3 linked regions of the Lonchura striata genome follow. The protein of the gene in region 2 interacts with the protein of the main gene of each other region in a pairwise test. Links are inferred from orthologs where the notes say so. Each region holds a gene or a part of one and is shown on either strand. Other genes may lie near its edges.

Region 1 (7,836 bases), on a different chromosome or scaffold from region 2:
CTCAATAGTATTTTTCAACCTAGTTGATTCTGTCACTCTGAGAAGGAGGAATTGTTCAGAGAATAAGATCATGCCTTGATATGAGCAAAGCAGTATCTCAGAATAGATGTGATCCAAGTAATAAGGAAGCTACACCTGGGCCCAGCACTCTACAGCATTTCCTTCCCTGAATGAGAGCTCCCAAATGGAGCCTGTGTCTGGTGTGTAGCCTGTGCAGTGCCTCATACTGATAGAGGATGTATTACACATCAGCTCCTTGAAGTGAGTCTTCCTTGAATTCAGAGTCTAGTGTCCATTCTGTTCATTCTTTTCTGTATTGGCATCTGTGTGTTGAATTTCCACACGGTAAACTCCTGTACCTGCCCACTGCTCCTCCTTGCCGTTTGCATTCACACTGGTGCTTTGTAGCCTAGCGAGGTGATTGTGTAGCTTTCCTGGCTCTTAACCATACACTCCTTGCTGGGTCCTGTTACTTGTCAGGTCAGCACAGTGCTGGCAGAGTGCCTCTGCCTGCCACCAGAGAGTGCAAGGGAGGGTGGTACTGCAGGAGATTCTCTCTTGAGGCTGTTTACAAGAGGAATCAGATTGAGTAGCTCATCCCGTGCAATGGGCTGCTGTTGGCACTGTTTTCATTTGCTGTCCAAAACCTTTCATCCCTGCCTGACACAGATAGTGTGGGGCTATATGTGAGCTTATGCAACTAACTGCTTGGGGAGTACAGGAGTTGTCTCCCACTGGGATAATCAGATTCAGTTTTGGAGCCTGTGTTTGAACCCAGAGCAACAGGGTTGCAAGTAGAAACTGAGTCAAATGTACCTGAGAAACCTGAAGTGGTTGAATTGAGTCTGTGAATAAATTTAATGAATAGCTGAAGAACCTTTCCTTCCCATTCCCTGGGGCTTTGATCTTACGTTCTTTTTCTGCAGAGAATCCACTGGGCAGACTGAACAAGTAAACAAAGAGTCACTTTTCTTAACCTTACTTTATTCTAAACTATTTGTAGTTTGCCTGGTGGATAACCCAGTTATCAACAGGTCTTGTCTCTAACCCAGCTGTTACTCCCATTGTCTTGGGGGTAGAAGGGTATAAAGAAAAAGAGATACTCCCCTACCCCCATCTTCTGCTGCAGAAAGAAGAAAGGGGAAAGATGTGCACTTTGTCTAGGTTACAGAAATTGTGACTTCTGTCATTTTGAGAGTTTCATGCTTAGGCAATGGTCTGTAAATAAAACTTTTTATAAATGTCTTTAACCCTCTTTTTGCTGTCATCCAAATTATTTCATTTGGTAAATGGAATTTTTGGGGCTGGATCTGTGGGGGTAAAGAGTCAAAGGGAGGGGAGGCCACATCTCCTCAGTGATCTAGAAGGCTTTGTGGAGGCAAGGGAGATCACATTTGCAAGGTTTCTGTCAATACCTGGGATATGGATGGTAGTATATGGAAGAGCTGCAGCTCAGGTAGTAGCACTGGGAATGACACGCATCAGACCAGTTAAAGATAACGGAAAAGCTTCTTTCAAGAAACCTTGTAAATAGGCTGGGATTCATCTACTTTGGCATCTTTTCCCAGCTGAAATAATACAGGTGGGTAAAACTGTGTGACAAGCAGGGAATGACTGTTCATTGTTTTCATTGATACTTAGAATTTGGCATGCTTGGTTAAAGTACAAGATGGCAGATTGAACAAGTCTGTGCCTTGCTTAGCTTTGTGACACATTTTTCCTCAGTTGTGGGTGCTAACAGTTTGAGTTCAAAAAGATTTGGCCAGTTTGTGGGGAAAGAAAAAGCCATCAGTAACCATTAGACCATCTTTGTTTCAGAAGCAGCAGGGGACTGCTGGAGGCTGTTGTAAAGAAATAGCATGAAATGGACACCAGTTTAGGGGTTTCTGTTCTCTGTGTCTCAGGGCAAGCTGGCAATGCCTGACCTGACATAGGCACCCCTAACACGGGTGTAGTGTGAGCTCTTTGCTTGGGCAGAGGGAGCAGTTGCCTTTTGATGCTCTGAGAGCAGTGGCTTTGGGATGCTCCCCACGGTGGTGTGAAGGCTGCTTTCAACTAAACATGGATACTGGAGCAGAGAAGTCCCACGGAGCTGTGAACAGTTGTTCAGCTTGGGTCTCCCGTCAGTGATGGAGCCTTGGCTAATGACTTCTAAGCTAAGTAATGAACTTGTATTAAATACACTAGACTTAGCAATCTAATTAGCAAGGACAGAGTCAAGTTCTTGTGCATCCTGCCATCCTCCTTGGTGCTTCTGTGTCGATGCACTTGCTGGAACCTCTACCTTAGCAAGAGTTCCATGACGTACATTAATTTTCTTAGTAACCAGCAAGACTTAGGAAGTGCATGTAGCCATGCAGTTCCTTGTGAAGGTTCAGCAGTGGGGCTTATCTAGGAAGGAAGTGCCTCAGCTCATGGTATTGCTAAATTGTTCTCTTGTTTCTGGCAAGGATCTTCTGGTCTTGGAAAAATAAAACTTCAGTGCTTGGGGTGGCTCACACATGGCAAAAACCTTCTGAAAACATCAGCATATGCCTTAAAAGATGATGAACCAGAATGACAGTAAACTCAGTCCAGCTTTTTCTAGCCAGAGTGGAATAATGTAAATTAAAGCTGAAGAGATTGGGTTTGAGGCTCCTCGTCTGTGCTGGCCATGATACCTGTTTTACCTGTCACAGGAATGATGGTGATGTGGCTCAGGATTGGAAATGGCTAACCTTGGATTTTTAGCAGAACTGCCTGCTCCATGTGCTGGTGCTTGAGAAAATTCCCTTCTTCCATGTCTCTTCTGTCTGCACAAGGAAGGAGCTGGAGTGGCTTCAAGTGGGGCTGGCTGAAAGGTCTGATAATAGAAAACACACCTAGATATGAAGAAGTGGAGCTGGAAATGTGGCCATTTGAGGCAGAGGGGGAAAGAACAGTAAGAAGGATGGCTGATGGAAAAAGAGGAGTCTGGTATCACAGCTGCATCTGGGTGGAGATCAGATGGTTCAGCTGGGGACGAGGAGCAGGAAAACTTCTCTGAGCACATAACCTCTCCTCAGGTTTCCTTTAAGGCTGAGTTGGTCTGGACTGAACCTGATGGTCAATTGGACAATTTGAAGGAGGAAAATCAGCAAATGCCTTGTGGGCAGATACTGCTGGGATGGAAGTGCTATCTCCTAATTTGCAGCAGATGTGCATGCACTCTCCCAGGGGCCGTGTGCACGACTGTGCATCCGAGGAATAGGCCTGACTGACAGTAGTGCAGGTAGGAAGGTCCATTTGGGTCTCCTGCCAGGCCAGCCTGAGTCAGGGATGGTGACCTGACTACAGGTCACGTCACTAAGGGGTGAGTTTTTGGTGCTTGGCAATCAAGCAGAAGGTGAGCTGCAGTGATGGTGATCTGGCTGTGGGACAAGGCAGCATCCTTACCTTATGCCCCAGGTCAGAGGCCAAATAACAGCCATGCTGCTGAGATCAGTTCTGGTAGATGGGGTTTATGCTTTGAGATGGAGCTACATCAAAGCTCCCCCAAAGCTCCTGGAACGAATGCTGGTGAGTCTCTTGGGTCCTGCATGTAATACAGTTCAGTCTGTGTATCCAAACAGCAAAGGGGACACTTAGATCGCCCTCAGGAGGCTGCCCCAGGGTTACCTGCACATGGTGACCCCGGGGGTGTGTGCTTGTCTCCACACTAGTCCAGGAATAACATCTCTTTCCAGTTTGTCTGGTAGGAGACTAAGACTCCTGAGAGAGAGCAGGACTTATGCCTTGGAGGGCTCTGCCTGCTTTTCTCTGGAGGAGCAGCTGACATCCTGGGTCTTGGCCAAGAACTAATACATCACCTCAATGGCAGTCAGCTCTGTGGTGTGAGAAACACTGATGGGACTGGATGTTTGAACTGCTAAAGAAGTGCCACTCATGCCATCCAGGACTCTCAGAGACACAGATTGGCAGCACAGTGGGCATGCAGGGAATAAGGAAAGTTCTCCTGTTCAGGTACAGAAGTAGCCTTGAGATCTAAAAATACTGATGCTGTCCACTTCTGTCCACAGCACAGTTTTCTGAGCTTGCAAAGCATGGGGAGAAGAGCAGGGAAGAGAAACCTGCCCAGGCTGGTAAGGAAGAGTAGCAACAATGAGTACCCACCCAAGATAAAATGCTTCTTGGAACATAGCTAGATACAAAAATGGGTTTGCCCTTTCTAGGAGAGGCCTGAATCCTTAAGATTCATTTTTCCCCCCCTGCTTTGTCCCTGTGGAAGGTATGTGTATGCTGCTTTTTAAATTCCCTTTGCAGTGCTTGCAGCCCTGCTGCAGGGATAGGTCTATACGGGGGCTGCCAGACCTGTTGCCAGGTGCGGCAAATATGCCATGGGTGCCAAAGTGCAGCGTGGTTGCTCCTGCTGCTCCTGCTGCCTGCAGGCGCCTCCCCGCTGCCGAAGAGACCCCTGCAAGTGGCCCCTGTGTCCAGCCCCTCGCCCTGGGCTCCTGCCTGCCCACTCGGCCAGCCGGCCCCGCTCCTGGGGTTGCTCCTCCCAGCCTTGGGAGACCCCCGGCCGTCCCTCGCACCTGCTCTTGAGGGTGCAGCCTCCAGCTGCGGGCACATCTGTCCCGCCGGGGCCGGCGTTCGCCGTGGCCCGGGCGGAGCGGACGGGGTCGGGGTGCGAGGTGACGCCTCCATCTGTGCCGTGCCTGTCCTGCAGCTGCCGCCGGGAGCCGCGGGATGGAGCCTCCGGGCCGCGCCCCCGCTCCCCCCGCCCGGCGGCAGGTATGTCCCTCCCCGCCGGCACCGCCAGCATCCCCCTCCCTTCATCCCTCCTTCCCTGCCTCCCTCCCTCCCGCCCGCCCTCCGCCTGCATGGAGAGAGCCACAGAATGGCGGAGCGAGAGAAAGGAGCTGCATCCCCGCCCGCCTCACCCTTCCTGGGGCTGCACCTCGCCTCGCCCCCCAATTTCAGGTACCGGCCGCCGTCCCCCCGCGGAACCCTCTCGGGGCTGCCCCTGCCCCCTGCCCGGGGCAGCGCTCCCCATCTGCTGCAGCCCCCGCCCGCACGGTCGCGCCGGCCCCCGCCTCCTCCAGCGCTTCTGCCCCCTCGGCGCGCAGCCCCCCGGCCCGGCCATCCCTTCTGCCCCCCGCCCCAGCCACCGCTGAACCCCACCGCAGACATCGCTCCAGCCCCCCATGGCTGCTCAGCCCGCCCACCCAAGCCATGTTGGCCCTCACCCCACACATACACCACTGCAGCTTCCCAGCCCCCTGCTTGCCCTCGTGTCCCCTCGCACCCCATCCCGCCTCCTTACCTGTCTCATCTCCTCTTCCAGCACCTCTTCCTCATGGAAGAAAAAAGCTTCATCTCTCTCCCCTCCCCAAGAAAAGCCTTTTCCCAGCCCTTTCCTAGAAATCCCAGGTGCTTCTGCTTCCTTGCTACCCCTGTGAAACAGGAACCCCAAGTGAGACGGTGGGAGAGTGCCAGAATTGATCCTCTTAGCAATACCAAGTGCTCCCATCGATTTGGGATGCAGGGGGCTGTGTCTCCTCTGAAACCCAATGAGGCTTGTCACAGGGACTTCCGATGGCGTGGGCCAGGCCAGAGATGCCTGTGGGTTTTGGAGCCTCTGGTGCCTGCTAAGGGTAGCTCTGGCACACGGATGTGCTGGGTAGGTAAGGGAGGAGCCCTGCCCCTGCCTGCAGGTGCGGTGTTCACTTGCCATAAGGGGAGGCTCGCTGCTCCTGGCAGCTGTGCCCTCGTCAGCCATTGCTCTCTGCTTGCCTCTGCCACACAGGGGTGCTGGGGGGAGCTGCCTGAAAAAAGGGGAATGGTACCAGCTGCCTTGCGTGCTGAGATTTTGGGTGGAAAGGAGAGGATGGTCCTCACCTGGGACCACAGCTAAGATCATGCCCTCCTCTGTCAGGCCCAGCCCCTGAGGCTGGGGAACCCATGGGTCCCTGAGAGGAAACAGATGGGTGCAGTCGAGCAAAGGTAGTGCTCAGGCAATTAATATTTGAAGGGCTGTGCTTCTGGACCCCCGTTGCTGGTGGCTCCGGGTCTTTGGCAGCTGCCTCCTATTGCAGCGCTGCCTGCGAGAGCTGCTGGGAGCTGTTGCAACATGGCTGGTGTACCCTGCAAAGCCAGCGATTAAACACTGCCTCTGGAATCATCCACCATGGAGAAGGGGCTTGGCCACTGAGCCAGGGGCTGGAGGCTGAGCTGCCGAGCAGCTCTGGGCCTGCCGCCTGCTGTCCTGGAGGTAGCGGCTGTGCCCTCGGCATCCTCCTGCTCCCCAGCAAACAGCCATGCCCTCGGAGGGAGAATGAGCTGCTGCTTCTGGCTGGGCCTCAGATCTTTGGAAAAGGAGCCCCGTGTGCTGCCAGCCTGCTCCAGGGAAGAACTGACCTCGTGAAGGATGCTGTGCAGCTGGGTGGAAAACTGAGGAGTCAAGGCAGGAGTGCAAAATCTTCCCCGGGCACCAAGCTCAGGGTGTAAGTGGAAGTAAATGCAGTGATGTGTCTGAGCCTGGGGCAGGGTATGGCAGATCAGAGGTGATGTTGTGGTGGGGAGTGTCGTGCGAGAAGGGAGCCGTGCTTGTGTTTCAGAAGCTGGGTTATGTGTCACAGCATGGCTTGTGCATGTCCCAGGTCCTGCATCCCTGCTGCAGGGCTCAGCGAGGGGCTGTTCCCCGCGGATGAGCTGGACCCAGCAGCGATGAATGCGGTTCAGAGTGAAGGCTCAGACCATGGCTGGCAGTGAGGTGAGCACTGCCCTCTGCCCCTGCCTGCTGCCTGCAGGATGAGGTGTTTCAGATTTCTGCCCTTTGGTACATGCATCTGCACTCCCAGCTCTGAGTGGTGACATGCCAGTCCAAGCATTAGGTGATCAGTTGGCTTGAATTGAGAGAGGGCTTGGTCCTGGCCAGCAAGCAGACTGAAGCATTGAAGAGACCAGGCATAGTGGCCTGGCAGTGATGGTTTTGTGTTGTCTGAGAAGAAGTGGGAGGAAAAGGATGGTGAGATAATCCCTCCTTTAGCCAGGAGGTCCTCCAGAGGTATCTGTTCATCACAATGAGAATAACACCATTTTAGGAGACAGCAATTACAAAAATCATTCTCATCCATCCTCCCTTAAGCTTCTCAAAGCCTTGCAGTGTGGTCTGTGTTCACTGGAGCTCCGTAACATCTTTCTCTGGGAAACGGTGTTGCAGCTCCTTGCCCTGCTAAGAAGCTTTGGCTGTGCTTTGTGGCAGGCTTTCCTGTGAGGGGCTTTCTGGAGCCTCTCTGGGTTAGGGGTCCCTCTACCCAGCATTAGAGGGACAGGGAGGACTGGCACAACTGGGGTGAAGCTGGATGCAGAGCTCACAGTGTTGCCTGTCCCACTGTCCCCAGGACTGTGGCTTTAATGTAGATGGAACCTGGGAGGGGTCACTGACTGATCCCCTCTTATCTCCTTCAGCTTTCCCTGATAAAAGTAAAGGGCATCCACCTAGCTACTGGGTAGGAGGACACCTAGGGGAAGAAACCCTTGGGGAGTTATTTCCATAGGTCAGGAGAGAGGGAAACTACTCTACTACTCAGGGAGTGCTGTCAGAAATCACAGCCCTTTGGGAAGGGAGGGGCTCTCTGAGAGAAGAAGTTCTCTCCGTCTTGTCGGGAAGTTCAAAGATGCACCTTCGGGCTGAGGCAAAAATCAGTTTAGTTCTGTGGTTTGTTTTATGTGTCTGTCGTGCTCATCTGGAGCTGTCAGCAAAGCCTGTTTGGAGGCAATGAATGAGCTGGGCGTTGGAATGGGGCTCCCTGTCTTCTTCTGAGGGGAGATGGAAGGGTTGTCTTCCTCTGAAGGAGGGAGAGAGGCGCCTTC
Region 2 (7,877 bases):
CATCCTAGCTGTTGGAGGAATGAGACCTAACTGTTTTTAGTATGAGTCTCAATTACAAAGATGTTTATCCTGAACAGACCTCACACCTGTTATTAATAGGAAAGTAAAACAATTAAAAGAGTAAAGGAGATTCAGAGTTATTCCAGCCTATCCTCTTTTCCTTGTGAATTCCCTATAAAGATTTTAGATAAGTAATTTGTAAATGCTTCTTTACCTCCCATTCCTTTTCAAGTACAAATCCCATTTGTTGCTTCCTTGCAGGGCAGAATGGCACTGAAGGGCCAGTGAATTGGAGCAAAAATAAGGACCTTTGTTCTTTAGAAACAGAAAGTTCCAAAGAAATCTATTTGTAGTAAGGTAAGTACCATGATCTTTGGTAGTTAGAGATGTAGCTGAGGTAAAGCATACTTGCCCTTACTTTGTGACCGTGTCTCCAGGATGGGGAACAGGGACTTCCAGGGTGGACCAGACAGTTCTGACCAAAGGACAACTGTAATCTGTTTAATCTTTCTCCACTTTCTTCTGCCTTCCAGGTGAATAAAAAAACCTCTGTCATCTCTACATGGTTACTGTTAAACTCCAACACAGGCCTATTTCTGCAGATGAAATATACCTGGGGTGTTTCAGAAGCTCCTTTACTGACTGTGTTTCTACTAGTCTCACTTGTTCAGTGGCAGTTACCAAAAAAGTTCCCATGTTCTTGCTTCTTGTTCCAGGATGCAGTAATATAATGCCAGGTTGAAAGAGAGAAGTTATAATATGTCACTAACCAGAAGACCTCGAGGAAACTTTTGACCACAGTGCTAGCTGCATTGTGCAATTCTGACTCTGATTTCTGTTCTGGACCAATTCACCTCTCCTCAGCTTAATGTTTCTCACTTTCATGTGGTCTGGAGATGCACTTTTGATCTAGTCTTCTGGAAATCTGTGCTTTAGTTACCAATATGCATTAGATGTTTGGGTATTATATCAACTAAGGCTCTCTTTTTCTTAGTTTGAGATTAGGTGGATTTTTTTTTTTTTTTTTGTCTTTAAATCCTTGGAAGAAAATACTTTCCTGGCAAACAATTTCCATTGTTTTAGATACTGTGAAATGTGATGTGGCTTATATGAGAAACTTGGTGAACTTGGGGCCATTGTCTGTTTGGGTTTTTTTGTGTGTTGTAAAGTTGAAATTAATACTGGTTCTTTGCATAAGATGCATGTTCCCTAAAACATGATTTAAGGAAACATCTGCTCACAACACATGTATTTGAAAAAAATAAATGGTGAAGTGCAAATACACATTGCTACTGTGGATCCCCATGAAAACAGCTTAATCTGCTTTCCCTGAAGTCTGTCTTTGATGCAAACTGAAGAGGGCCTTAGGTGAATGAAATGTCTCAAAAATAGTATCTCTGAAGAGCCCATCCTGCCTTTAATAGTCTGTTAAGAAAGCAAGACTCTAACACACTCAAACACACACACATTGTTGCTTGCTATAAAACTAAGGTTCAGTTAAAGAAACTGGACACTTTAGATTGTAGAATAGCAAAGGTGGATGAAATTTGAAGAGTTAATTGCTGCTGTTTGGTACTTATGTTATTGCCCAGGCAGAGAGACTGTCTTTAGTTTAGATTTGTAGGATTTGTCATTACCAGTGTTCTCCCAAAAAAATGAGCATGGCTTTAGTATATTTAAAATGTAGCCTTGCTTTAGCATGATTGCGCAAAAATAACAAAACAAAACAAAAAAAAACCTTGTAATGATAAAGGCATAGGATTTAATGATTAAACTTTAAATGTGAATTGGAAACATAGCTTGTAACTTAAAATGTTTTCTGTGTGGAAGCACCTGGGTTTATCTGAGGACAGATTGACCACAAGATTACTGAATGCCAATGGCAATTACAGCCTTATTGGATAATGCACTGGACAGATCCTTAGCCTCTGTAAACTGCCCTAGCTCCAAGAAGTTCAGAAGAGACAAATTTACAGATCTGATCCACATTTTCCTATAGTGAAAGTATATATGTTTTTTACTTTCCTTAACCATCAGCTCTCTATCTTTATCTAGTCATATATCAACCCTGATGTTTCTGTCTGTGAAGAACTGCACGAGTTTGGACACTAATTTAGACTGAACTTTGGTCAAAAATGAAGCCTTTTAATTTTTAACTTCCTTGCTTAGCAGATATCTTTAATAAGTAAGCAGTGTCGTTGTTAGTTCTAAATTACACCTTTAACTGCTTTTCTGAGTGCTTGCTTACACTAAAAACCAGGCAAGCAAAAACATCCCAAACTGTATTTTAAATCAAAAGTAGAGCCCAATGAACAACTGCATTGCCTATGTTTTCTCCTTCTAACCTTCGAACAGACCTAGTCTCCATCTTCTTGAACATGCATAATCAACTGAAAATCCGTAGGTGTAGTTCAGTAACAAATCATGAGCTGCCAACAGGAACAGTCAACAGAAAGATGAGAAAAAGAGATGTGTTGCACCTACGTGGGCAATTTTGGGTGTAGTTATGGGAAAGCCTTGAGGAGTTTTTATTCTTGTCTTGATGTATCTAGTCTTGAAGAAGTTCCATTCAATGGTGTCCAGCAAGACAGGGTCCCTTTAGTTGGATGATGAGGTGCCATGGTAAAGTGAGAGGAGAAAATTTTAGTTTAAGTAAATAGAGGTTAGACTTCTCCTGTGCTGGTTCCATTGTTACTATTGTTCAGCAGTAAAATATCTGGGCCTATCAGTTTATATGTCTCTAAATGAAAACTTTGTCTTGTGAGTGCAAAGAATAATGGGTGAGAAGGGCATGACCCACCATCTCAGCTCACTGTCAACATCATCGCCACCATTCCTGTTGGAGACTCCTTCTAGGCTCTCACCTATGGGAAAAACAGATGTGTAGAAATGGTGATGGTGAATGGGGCAGGAACACACCTTCTGGCTGCCAGCTGTGAGGGAGTGAAACAGGTAGGTGCCTCCCAAAGCTTGCATCCAGGTCACTTCAAGCGTACAGTGACATTAGATTACACATACCTCCTGGCCTGGGGATGCAGCTCCCAAGCACTGTTTACCCTCTCTGCCTCTTGCTGGGATGTGAACTGCTTTAAACAATTCCTCTTCTAATGAAGTACGGTCAGTCTGTGTTGGCTTTGCAGGCACCCATCTGTAGAGAACAGATCTGCTTGCTCCTCTCTCTGAGGATCCCTTCGTTCCCGCCCCATCGGCCTTGCTGGGAGATTAAAGTAGCAGCGGCCCCATACACAAACGCAGCTGGTTCCGTTTGGTCAGCCTGAGCCTTGCTGTGAAACCACGACAAGAATTCCAGTAAGTTGGCAACACTGAAACACAAAGAAAACAACAATAGGAAAAGACCTTCCGTGCAGAAAGGAATGTTTCAGGCGCTATTCCCCTACAGAGAAAGGAGAGAGGGTGGGAGGGAGGAGGGAGATTTGAAGAGGGCATGTCTCCCCCTCCCCCGGCAGCTCTGGATCTTGTGATGGAGAGATCTTATCCTCTCTTTGTGATTCAGAGGTGCCAGGAAGCTAATTGAATATTCTGATCTGCCCCCAGTGTTTCTTGTGGCTTGACCCCGGTGCTGTGTCGTACCACCACACCAAACAGCCCTGAACCTGCATAAATCACAACCTTGCAAAAGCCTATGCTCCACATCTTCTCTCCCCACCCCCCTCTTTACTATCTTGATAGATAGAAAGCCTTTACGGAAAGGTTTAGAGGGATTAGCGTCCTACAGGACCTGGAGAGAAATCACAGTCTGCTAATAAGCAGCGACATGTTCCTGTGCAACTTCTGCAGGAACAATACAGGCACCTCTACCTTTTTATTGAACTTGCAATCCATGGCAAAAAGAAGAATTAAGGTTTGAAATATTGCTTAAGTTCTTTTGCAGCATCAGCAAACAGCCCTTGCAGTATAATGAGCATGGCATGATGCTAATGCAAAAGATATGTGGTATCTGTAAAGGTGGTGTCATTAAAATTAATCTGACAGAACCTCTTGGAAGACAAATAGAGCTATCCTTCTCTCATGATATGTATGCACAGTAGTCACTGTTGACGTGCATGTGCATATGTGTACATATATGAAGAAAGTATAGCTTGGCATAACTAAATTTCCAACATGAAAGACTGTTTTTGACTACTAAAAAATTATTTAACTCCACGCATTTTATATATGATGCTTCTGATCCTGCAAGCAAAGCCTCTAAAAAGTTTGTTCTTTTTACCAAGGCTGCATTCCAGCCTGAAGTTAATCTTTATCTTCTCCCTGTGATCCTACACACTACTCTTCCCTTGTTAGTGTATATGGTTCCTGAAATGGCAGCAGTAAAACACAGGGAGATATTTCTTTGTGTATTGCACACACTGTTGGAGAGTTAAAACTAAAGGAGCATATCTCTAGTTGGTATCTTGAGAATTCACAGCTAAAGCACTTTACCAAACTGATTTTATCTGCTAAGAAAGTGCAAAAGTAAATTTCATCCCCACAGTTTTCCTTTCATAGTGTTTGTTGTGAGCACTACTAATTTCTAAGCTTTTCCTCTGTCTGCATCAGTGAGTAGATGCTAGATTTTTTTTCAGAGTTATCAAAAATACTTTTTCTTATTTGGGACACTAAAACCTATGACATTCATTACTTGCCACCCGCAGTTCCCAGAACTACTCAAAATAGATGAGCACATTAAATACAGCACCAATGGACTCTGATACGAAGTGAGCAAAGTGCAGGGTCTTGGAAGCATCTTGGCTATCCTGCAAAGTGTGGAAGGAGGGGCAGAGGGAGCCTGTGGCCGCAGGGCCTGGAGCACTGCCTGATTCCCTCATGCTGGTTCCGGGGCCGCCGGGTATAAAGAGCTTTATGCAATGTCTGGAGGGTGGGAGTTTATAGAAAACGCGATGTCTCAACAGGCGAACACGCCTTTCTTCTGCAACTAGCAGGACAAGAAAAAGATACCAGGCTCCTTGTGCTGGTGCTGTGCAGATCAGCACCCCGGAGTCCAGAAGCCAGCTTCTGAGAAAGCTGGAGCATCCCAACCCAGATGGGACCTCACCATCGGATGGATGGAAGAGCAACAACTGCTTGCAAACTGCTCATATTATTCACTGCATGCCTGATGCAGGGCAGTTGCCAAGGTAAGTGCTATGCTCCAGCCTCTCCGGAATAGAAATTGCACCGTAAGGAGCATATCCCTACTCTGGGGACTTTTATAAGAGAAAGATAAGGTGACTGAAAGTAGAGGGTTAACAGGCACTGATTCAAGGAGTTCTTTCTAATAGTTAGGGGAGACAGTTGGCTCTTTCCAGGAGTCATTTGATGGAGTCGGTTTCTGTTGTGGAAAAGTAAGTAGCGCCTTAAAAGCACTGCAAACATCACCGATTCTTCAGCTTAACTTCATCTTGATTTCAGATTATCGTAGGATGCTTCCTTTGATTGTTTTTCTAGTTTGTAGAAACTTTTTTTTTCCCTAGTTGTGTGTGTAAGCAACAGACAAATGTGGCTAATTTTTGATGGACATCTCAGACTTTGCAATTCCACGGTCTAAACGCATGGTTTTATGGAAATGCCAACAGGCAGGTTTTTCTGCGAGTCCTGATTACTGGCTGTGAATAAGGCCAAAAAAACCCCAAAAACAAGCAAACAAAAACACCCCAAAAACCAAACCACCCCCACAAAAAACCAAACAAATAAAAAACAAAAAAAAAAACACCAAAAAACCCCAAAAACAAAACAAAAAAACCCCAACCACCCCAGACTTTTTGCGTTTTTTCCTTGTGGTATTTGTGCCTTTCTTGCTACTGAAATACGGGTGATTTTACAGAGCAGAGTTCACCTGCATTCCACGAGCTGGTTTGGTAACCACTAAAATTGTACCTAGAGTTGTTTTTGTTGAGGAGTGCACAGCACTTGCACGTAGACAGGTTGGGTCGGGGGGCAGGGGGTTATGCATGGACATGCTTGCGTACGTGTGGTATATGCAGTCATTTACAGAAAGCTATAAGAAAGAAACAGATGCTTAGTCTGGAGCACAATAAGCTCCCCTCAGTCGGTCTCAGACGCAGATTTGAAGTTGAGAGAGGGAGAACTTTTTCTCTGGGCTTTACTGTTGCTAGGCGACATGGAGGAGCATGTGACTGGCAGAGCAGGCTGAGTGCCGCTCCTCCAGTGCTAATCTGGCTGCTGGGGATGGAGCAGCCGTGTGCCCAAGTCCTCCCTCCGGCCTCTGCAGCCGATATCCCTGCCTCCCCTTCTTCAGCTGTTTATTTGCCTTGCACTGAAAATCAAGCCTGTCGTGTTGGAGCACGAGTGGCTAAAGTGCATTTTTCCTCCGCCCCGCCTATTGACCTGCAGTTCTGCTGCTTCTGTGTGTGTCTGCATATTACGTGTGTGTTCAAATGGTTAATCTGCTTTCTTTGCTCAACTCTTAGTTTAAGCTCCTTAGACAGAATCAACTAAGTAATTATACAGCAACTGCTGTTAGCAGCTCCCACTTATGAACAAGGAAATAAGAGATAGCTAATGTGCTGGAGACCTGCAAAAACTCCAGCCAAGGAGGTCACACTGGGCAGAATTAATCCTATGCACTATTATTTTACATTGGGTAGAATGGAACTTGCAGTACAGATAAAATTTTTTTGTTGTTGTTCTGTAACTGCTTCTGATTGTCCAGAACATATCTGATAAAAGACATGACAGAACAAGCAGAGATAGGCTTTGAACTAGCATCCATAGTAGTATCCATACAGATTTTTTTTTTTTTTACTTTTATGATGTTCCTTCTGCTCTTTCTCCCAATCTCCCCTCCCCCCTGCCTCCACAGTAGAATAACTGTGGAAATCAAACACTATAATTTTAGTAATGGGTGACTGATACTAGGAAAATACCTGGATAGCAGGTATTTTGCCTGCACTTTGATTATGGCAGTGGAATATTTGTTAACCATAAATTACAGTTCCTTGAATGCTAAGATCATGTCAGACTCTTATTTCAAAAAGAAAATTTGAAGAACCATGAAAGCAATCCCAAGCCTTTGAAGGAAAATGGTGAAAATCTCTTATTTTGCCTTATCCTCAGTATTTCCAAAGGCACTTCACTGATGTTTTTTGAGATTTTTTTTTTTGGCAATTTTTGAGTGTTCCCAATATAAGATGGATGTTTCTAGAAGAATTTCACCTACACAATTCACCTTGTTCAATTGGTAGTACTCTTTTGCGATTTACCTAATTCTGGTTCTACTGAGAGTAACTGTAGTGCTCATAAACAGAATAAAAAAGTTTTGTAATTGCCAGCAGTACAGGGTCTGTTTCTCCTGCCTTTATAGGTCTTGTTGTCTGTGGGGTAATTGTTGTCAGAAAAAAGTGTAGCTGGAACCTAAAAAGTAGTTAAGTGAAGGCAGTGTCAAGCAGGAGCATTGTGGGACTATTGCTTATGTTTGTTTTGGGGAATATCAAAGTGCTTCACACTCAGCCATAAACTACAGACAATGGATGGATGTTAGTGCACCAAATTTGATTTGTATCCTGCACCTCTGCAATGATAAATTATCAGCTTGATACGTCCCAGGCAAATATGGCTAAAATTTTTTTACCATTATGAGGTCTCTATTAATCTGAGAATGAAGACTATTCTAAGAATGAATGCATATGGTGTGATAAGATATATAATCACAATGAACATTTGCATGAAGTGTGGCAGGCCATTAAGAAATAGGTATGGTAAGACCAAGTAGAGAAGAGTTACAGCAGTTCTTTCTGGAAGTCATGGAGAAACATGTTTTCCATAAGGCATTGTAATAGTTCAATCTCCAAATCAATAATTCAGTGTTTTTTAGATATTGTTTTCATTCAAAATTATTTAATTTTTCTGTAGGATGATGT
Region 3 (7,633 bases), on a different chromosome or scaffold from region 2:
CTTCCCAGATTTCCCTGTCCCTCATTCCCGAGGGTTTCCCTTCGCTTCCCAGATTTCCCTGTCCCTCATTCCCGAGGGTTTCCCTTCGCTTCCCAGATTTCCCTGTCCCTCATTCCCGAGGGATTTTCCTTCGCTTCCCAGATTTCCCTGTCCCTCATTCCCGAGGGTTTCCCTTCGCTTCCCAGATTTCCCTGTCCCTCATTCCCGAGGGATTTTCCTTCGCTTCCCAGATTTCCCTGTCCCTCATTCCCGAGGGTTTCCCTTCGCTTCCCAGATTTCCCTGTCCCTCATTCCCGAAGGATTTCCCTTCGCTTCCCAGATTTCCCTGTCCCTCATTCCCGAGGGTTTCCCTTCGCTTCCCAGATTTCCCTGTCCCTCATTCCCGAGGGATTCCCTTCGCTTCCCAGATTTCCCTGTCCCTCATTCCCGAGGGTTTCCCTTCGCTTCCCAGATTTTCCCCGGGCCGTGCCGGGCGCTGGTGGATCTGGGATTTCCCAGCTTTGACTTTTCCTCTTCCAAAGGGAAATTCCCTCAATTTCTGCTGGAATCTTGGCTCTGGGAGCCAAGGTTGGATGGGGAGAGGGGCCGGGATTTGGGGATTTGGGGATTTGGGGATTTGGGAATGAGGAGAGCCCGCGGCTCCGTGGGAAGGACTCGGCTGGAAGTGAGAGGGATGGGGGAAAACTTGGGATAAGGATCGAAGGGATGGATTTCCCTCAGGCTGGATTGTCCCAGCAGGAATTTCTCCCGTTTGTCGGAGCTTCGCCGGGTCCGGGTGGATCCTCGGGATCCGTTCCGGGAGCTGAAGGTTTGGGATCGGCCCAGGGTGGAATTCACGGATCCTGGGAATGGAAACGCTTGGAAAACTTCCTGGGCTGTGCCCGTGGGATCTCCTGGATCCCGGGGATCCTCGGGATGGGCTGGGAGGTCCATTCCCCACCAGGATTGGGGAATTGTGGGATCCTTGCCCATGGAATGCCGGCGGTGCCTCGGGAAGGGCCCCGAGCCCCCCCGGGCTGGGCAGGGGCTGCCGGGATCCGTGCAGGGAGAGCCCGGGAAAAGTGGGATCTGCCCCGGGAAAAGTGGGATCTGCCCTGGGAAAAGTGGGATCTGCCCCAGGAAAAGTGGGATCTGCCCCGGGAAAAGTGGGATCTGCCCCGGGAAAAGTGGGATCTGCCCCGGGAAAAGTGGGATCCGCCCCGGGAAAAGTGGGATCTGCCCCGGGAAAAGTGGGATCTGCCCCGGGAAAAGTGGGATCTGCCCTGGGAAAAGTGGGATCCTCCCCGGGAAAAGTGGGATCTGCCCCAGGAAAAGTGGGATCTGCCCCGGGAAAAGTGGGATCCGCCCTGGGAAAAGTGGGATCTGCTCCAGGGAAAAGTGGGATCTGCCCCGGGATCGGGGCGGCTCTGCCGGCATCGGGGCAGGATCGGGAATGTCCTCCTGGCTCTGCCCAGCTCCTGCCAGGAGCCAGCGGGGATCGGGATCTGCTCCAGGGAATGAGCCCCGGGAAAAGAGGGAGCGGCCTCAGCCCGGCCAGGGCAGGCTGGGATTGGAGATTTGGGATCATTTTCCATGGAAAAGGGGCCAGGCCCTGGCAGGGGCTGCCCAGGGAGCTTTGGAATGCCCATCCCTGGAGGTGCCCGAGGAATTCCCGGAATTCCACTCAGGGCTGGGATCGGGCCCAGCTGGGACTCGGTGCCCTTGGAATTTTTTCCAGCCTCAATAATCTGGGAATTCAGTGCTCACACCCCCATGAGAATTCCCAGCACATCCTGGTTATCCAGGGAATGAGCCCTGGGAGAAGAGGGAGCGGCCTCAGCCTGGATCAGTGGGGAGATTTGGGATCATTTTCCATGGAAAAGGGGCCAGAGGAATCCCGGAGCTTCCCGAGTGGGATCCCAAAGGAGCATCGGGCCCAGTTTGGGATTCCCATCCTTGGGAATCCTTTGCAGTCCCTTACAGCCGCTGTTCCCGCTGGCAGTTTGGGAATCCCGGGCTTGGGAGGATCCTGCTGGGTTTTTGGGGAATGTTTTCCCCATGGAATGTGGCTCAACCACCCCGGGGGGAAGCTCCTGGAACCCCAAATCCCCGCCGGGGCAGGGCCGCGTCCCAAAACCCCAAAGGAACGGAGATGGGAGCGGGAATGTTGGGGTGGAAGCTGGGAATGGGACACGGAGGGGACTGGGGGACACGGAGGGGATTGGGGACACAGGGGACACTGAGGGGATTGGGGGACACAGGGGACACGGAGGGGATTGGGGGACACTGAGGGGATTGGGGGACACAGGGGACACGGAGGGGATTGGGAGGGAATTGGGGACACTGAGGGGATTTGGGGACACAGGGGGGACACTGAGGGAATTGGGGACACTGAGGGAATTGGGGGACACGGAGGGGATTGGGGACACAGGGGGACACGGAAGGAATTGGGGACACTGAGGGAATTGGGGGATACTGAGAGAATTGGGGGACACAGGGGGACACGGAAGGAATTGGGGACACTGAGGGAATTGGGGGACACGGAGGGAACTGGGGACATGGGGACACTGAGGGGATTGGGGACACTGAGGGAATTGGGGGACACAGGGGACACTGAGGGGATTGGGGGACACGGAGGGAACTGGGAACACGGGGACACTGAGGGGATTGGGGACACTGAGGGAATTGGGGGACACAGGGGACACTGAGGGGATTGGGAGGGAATTGGGAACACTGAGGGAATTGGGGGACACAGGGGGACACTGAGGGAATTTGGGACACAGGGAATTGGGGGACACAGAGGGGACAGTGAGGGAATTGGGGGACATGGAGGGACACTGAGGGAATTGGGGGACACGGGGACACGGAGGGAATTTGGGACACGGAGGGAATTGGGGGATACTGAGAGAATTGGGGGACACAGGGGGACACGGAGGGAATTGGGGGACACAGGGGGACACGGAAGGAGTTGGGGAAACAGGGAATTGGGGCACATGGAGGGACACTGAGGGAATTGGGGGACACGGAGGGAATTGGGGGACACAGGGGGACACGGAGGGAACTGGGGACACTGAGGGGATTGGGGACACTGTGGGGATTGGGTGACACAGGGGGGACACGGAGGGAACTGGGGACACTGAGGGGATTGGGGGACACTGAAGGACACGGAGGGAACTGGGGGACACGGAGGCACCCCACGTTCACGGGTGGCAGTGCGGGGGTCCCTCTGCCCGCCCCCCAAACCGGGGCCGTCCCTGGGGTCCCCCCGCACGTCCCCGCGGCCTCAGCGGCGGCCGCTGCCCGGTGCCGGCGCCCGGTGCGCAGCACCGCGGACAGCTCCGGTCCCGGTCCGCCCGCGGCCCCGCAGAGCCGCGAGCACCGTGCCGAGCCCCAGCACCCTATGGACTGCCCCAGCACCCTATGGACTGCCCCAGCACCCTATGGACTGCCCCAGCACCCTATGGACTGCCCCAGCACCCTATGGACTGCCCCAGCACCCTATGGACTGCCCCGAGCACCCTGCAGAGCCCCAGCACCCTATGGACTGCCCTGAGCACCCTATGGACTGCCCTGAGCACCGTGCCGAGCCCCAGCACCCTATGGACTGCCCCGAGCACCGTGCCGAGCCCCAGCACCCTATGGACTGCCCCGAGCACCCTGCCGAGCCCCAGCACCCTATGGACTGCCCCGAGCACCCTATGGACTGCCCCGAGCACCCTGCCGAGCCCCAGCACCCTATGGACTGCCCTGAGCACCCTGCCGAGCCCCAGCACCCTATGGACTGCCCCGAGCACCGTGCAGAGCCCCAGCACCCTATGGACTGCCCCGAGCACCCTGCAGAGCCCCAGCACCCTATGGACTGCCCTGAGCACCGTGCAGAGCCCCAGCACCCTATGGACTGCCCCGAGCACCCTATGGACTGCCCCGAGCACCCTGCAGAGCCCCAGCACCCTATGGACTGCCCTGAGCACCCTGCAGAGCCCCAGCACCCTATAGACTGCCCTGAACCCCTAAAGACCCCCTTACAGAGCCCTGAGCACCCTACAGACCCCCAGCACCCTATAGACTGCCCTGCCCCCCTACAGAACCCTTCCCTTCCCTTCCCTTCCCTTCCCTTCCCTTCCCTTCCCTTCCCTTCCCTTCCCTTCCCTTCCCTTCCCTTCCCTTCCCTTCCCTTCCCTTCCCTTCCCTTCCCTTCCCTTCCCTTCCCTTCCCTTCCCTTCCCTTCCCTTCCCAGGACCCCTCCCCATTCCCATACCCCCCCAATCCCATCCCACACCCCCAGATCCCCCCAGGACCGCCCCTCATCCCATCCCACCCCAATCCCATCCCATCGATCCCACCCCAATCCCATCCCATCGATCCCACCCCATCCCATCCCCCCCTCCCCTCCCTCTCCCTCCCTCCCTCCCGCCGCCCCCGCCCCTCCCGGCTCCTCCCTCTCCCCGTTTTTCCCGCAGCTCCTCCCGCCCCTCTCCCCGTTTTTCCCGCAGCTCCTCCTCCCTCTCCCCGCTCGTTTCCCGCAGCTCCTCCTCCCTCTCCCCGCTCGTTTCCCGCAGCTCCTCCTCCCTCTCCCCGCGGCTCCCGCAGCTCCTCCTCCGTCTCCCCCGTGCCCCCATCCCGCGGCTGCCCCCGCCCCTCTCCCCGCCGCTCCCGCAGCTCCTCCCGCCGCTCCCCCCCGCTCCCGCAGCTCCGCAGTCCGGCGCAGCCCCGGCCGGAGAAAATGGCGGATCGCGCCGAGATGTTCTCGCTCTCCACCTTCCACTCGCTCTCCCCGCCCGGCTGCCGGTGAGCGGGGGATGCGCGGGGTGGGATGCGCGGGCTGCGATGCGCGGGCTGCGATGCGGGGTCGCGCTGCCCTTCCCCTCCCGCTGTCCCGCCCTTGCACCGGGCCCGCACCCCGGTACCCCCCCCCGCCCCTTCGTTCACCTTGGGATGCGGGACCGGGCGGGCTCCCGCCGTCCCCCGCCCCGCCGCGGCCCTTCCCGGGATTAACGGCGCAGCCGCCGCCATCCGGCCCCCGGAGCGGGCGGGGGGCGCGGGGTCCCCTCCGTCCCCTTCCCCTCGCCGCGGCGGGGAGCCCCCCCGGCCTCCGCCTGCCCCCGGGGCCGCCGCATCCCGGGGCCGCTGCGGGAGGAGCCGCCGCCGCCTCTTTGTCTCTCCCGAGGCGCCGCAGCGGCCCCGGGATGGGGACGGGAATTGGGGGGGGGGCGCCGGTCCCGGGAGTGGGTGGGGGGCGGCGGCGGCTCAGCACCCCTCGAGGCTCGGCGCGGCCGGGGGGATGCCGGGGGGTTCCCGCAGCCGGAGCCCCGGGATCGGTCACCTTCCCGCAGGGCCGCCGGGGGTCCCGCGGGGAGGGGACGGGGCTGGGCCCGCCCCGCGGCTGACCTTGGGGGGGTGCGGGGGTGCGGGGTCGGGGTGCGGGTCGCGGTGCGGGCCGCGGGCCGGGCTGGCGCACTGCGGGGCCCGCACGGCCGGCAGGGCAATGGGAAGGGCGGGAGGCGGCGGCGAGGGGCGCCCGGAGGGCCCCGGGGCTGCGGGAGCTGCGGAGAGAGGAGCGGGGGACGGCGAGGCTGCGGGACGTGCCCTTGGGTGGCTGTGGCCTGTGCTGGCCAGGGCTCCCCTCCTCTGGGCTGTCCCCGTCGCCAGGATGTCCCCTCCTCTGAGCATCTCGGATGTCCCCTCCTCTGAGCATCTCCATCTCCGGGATGTCCCCCCTCCCTGAGCATCCCCGTCCCCGGGATGTCGCTGTCCCCGGGATGTCCCCCTACCCTGAGCATCCCCCTCCCCAGGATGTCGCTTTCCCCGGGATGTCGCTGTCCCCGGGATGTCCCCTCCTCTGAGCATCTCGGATGTCCCCTCCTCTGAGCATCTCCATCTCCGGGATGTCCCCCTACCCTGAGCATCCCCGTCCCCGGGATGTCGCTGTCCCCGGGATGTCGCTGTCCCCGGGATGTCCCCCTACCCTGAGCATCCCCGTCCCCGGGATGTCGCTGTCCCCGGGATGTCGCTGTCCCCGGGGTGTCCCTGCCCGCGGTGGCGCAGGGAGGGGACACCACGGCCTCGCTGGGGCTGCTCGGCCCCGGGCCGGGCCGTGGGGCAGCCGGGCCCAGCCCGGGCAGCGGGAGCTGCGTCCGGAGCCATCCCAAAAGCCGGGGCCCATCCCTGGGGCAGCCGTGGCCGCGCTCGGGGCTCCCCGGTGGTGCCGAGATCCAGCCGGGAATGGTGGCGGAGGCCCCGAACCCGGCTCTGCCTTTCCCAGGGAGCCGCGGGGAGGGGGTGCCCAGCCCGGATGGGGCGGCCGCTGGGGTGGGACCCCCTGGCCGGGAGAGGGAGGCCGGAACGGGTGGGAATGCCCCTCCGATCTGGGAATGTCCCCTCGATCTGGGAATGTTCGATTGGGAATGCCCCTCCGATCTGGGAATGTCCCCTCGATCTGGGAATGTCCCCTCGATCTGGGGATGTTCGATCTGGGAATGCCCCCTCGATCTGGGAATGTCCCCTCGATCTGGGAATATTCGATCTGGGAATGTCCCCTCGATCTGGGACTGTTCGATCTAGGAATGTCCCCTCGATCTGGGAATGTTCGAGGTGGGAATGTTCGAGGTGGGAATTCCAGGCGCACCCGCAGCCGGGCCTTGGGATGGCTCCAGCCCCAGGTGCCAGGCAGGAGCCCCCGGTCCCCAATTTGGGGTGACCACAGGGTCAGAGTCAGCTCCGGGAGCAGCTGGGCACGGGGCGGGCGGGGGTCTCTTCCCGGCCGTTCTGGGGGTCCCTTCCCGGCCTCTCTGGGGATCCCTTCCAGGCTGTTCTGGGGGTCCCTTCCCGGCCGCTCTGGGGGTCCCTTCCCGGCTGTTCTGGGGGTCCCTTCCCGGCCGTTCTGGGGATCCCTTCCTGGCCGTTCTGGGGATCCCTTCCTGGCCGTTCTGGGGGTCCCTTCCTGGCCGTTCTGGGGATCCCTTCCTGGCCGTTCTGGGGATCCCTTCCAGGCCGTTCTGGGGATCCCTTCCTGGCCGTTCTGGGGGTCCCTTCCTGGCCGTTCTGGGGGTCCCTTCCCGGCTGCTCTGGGGGTCCCTTCCCGGCCACTCTGGGGGTCCCTTCCCGGCCGCTCTGGGGGTCCCTTCCAGGCTGTTCTGGGGGTCCCTTCCCGGCCGTTCTTGGGGTCCCTTCCCAGCCGTTCTGGGGATCCCTTCCCGGCCGTTCTGGGGGTCCCTTCCAGGCTGTTCTGGGGGTCCCTTCCCAGCCGTTCTGGGGATCCCTTCCCGGCCTCTGGGGGTCCCTTCCCGGCCTCTCTGGGGGTCCCTTCCAGGCTGTTCTGGGGGTCCCTTACTATCCGTTCTGGGGGTCCCTTCCCGGCCGTTCTGGGGGTCCCTTCCCATCCGTTCTGGGGATCCCTTCCCGGCCGCTCTGGGGGTCCCTTCCTGGCCGTTCTGGGGGTCCCTTCCTGGCCGCTCTGGGGGTCCCCTCCCGGCCACTCTGGGGTCCCCTCCCAGCCGTTCTGGGGGTCCCTTCCTGGCCGTTCTGGGGTCCCCTCCCGGCGCTCCGAGCCACCGGAGCTGGCAGGGATGAGGAAATTCCCTCGGCCCCGGCAGCGCTGGCACCGCCGCTGGCCCCTGCCCGGCCCTCCCGGCCCCTGCCCGCCCCTGGGGTCCCT

Evidence for each region.
Region 1: the proteins of LRP2 (region 2) and MAPK8IP1 interact in a two-hybrid assay, tested with the Homo sapiens proteins (2 studies listed by BioGRID). The link is inferred for Lonchura striata from reciprocal best matches to the Homo sapiens genes LRP2 and MAPK8IP1.
Region 3: the proteins of LRP2 (region 2) and MAPK8IP2 interact in a two-hybrid assay, tested with the Homo sapiens proteins (2 studies listed by BioGRID). The link is inferred for Lonchura striata from reciprocal best matches to the Homo sapiens genes LRP2 and MAPK8IP2.

What each region holds. Positions count from the first base shown.
Region 1 is NC_134608.1:38,226,179-38,234,014, forward strand, and holds the start of MAPK8IP1 (C-Jun-amino-terminal kinase-interacting protein 1), read left to right. Parts: upstream 1-4,826; 5' UTR 4,827-4,858; coding exon 4,859-4,941; intron 4,942-7,836. UniProt on the Homo sapiens protein: The JNK-interacting protein (JIP) group of scaffold proteins selectively mediates JNK signaling by aggregating specific components of the MAPK cascade to form a functional JNK signaling module. Required for JNK activation in response to excitotoxic stress.
Region 2 is NC_134610.1:19,577,097-19,584,973, reverse strand, and holds the start of LRP2 (low-density lipoprotein receptor-related protein 2), read left to right. Parts: upstream 1-4,868; 5' UTR 4,869-5,041; coding exon 5,042-5,135; intron 5,136-7,877. UniProt on the Homo sapiens protein: Multiligand endocytic receptor. Acts together with CUBN to mediate endocytosis of high-density lipoproteins. Mediates receptor-mediated uptake of polybasic drugs such as aprotinin, aminoglycosides and polymyxin B.
Region 3 is NC_134607.1:72,594,118-72,601,750, reverse strand, and holds the start of MAPK8IP2 (C-Jun-amino-terminal kinase-interacting protein 2), read left to right. Parts: upstream 1-4,623; 5' UTR 4,624-4,702; coding exon 4,703-4,767; intron 4,768-7,633. UniProt on the Homo sapiens protein: The JNK-interacting protein (JIP) group of scaffold proteins selectively mediates JNK signaling by aggregating specific components of the MAPK cascade to form a functional JNK signaling module.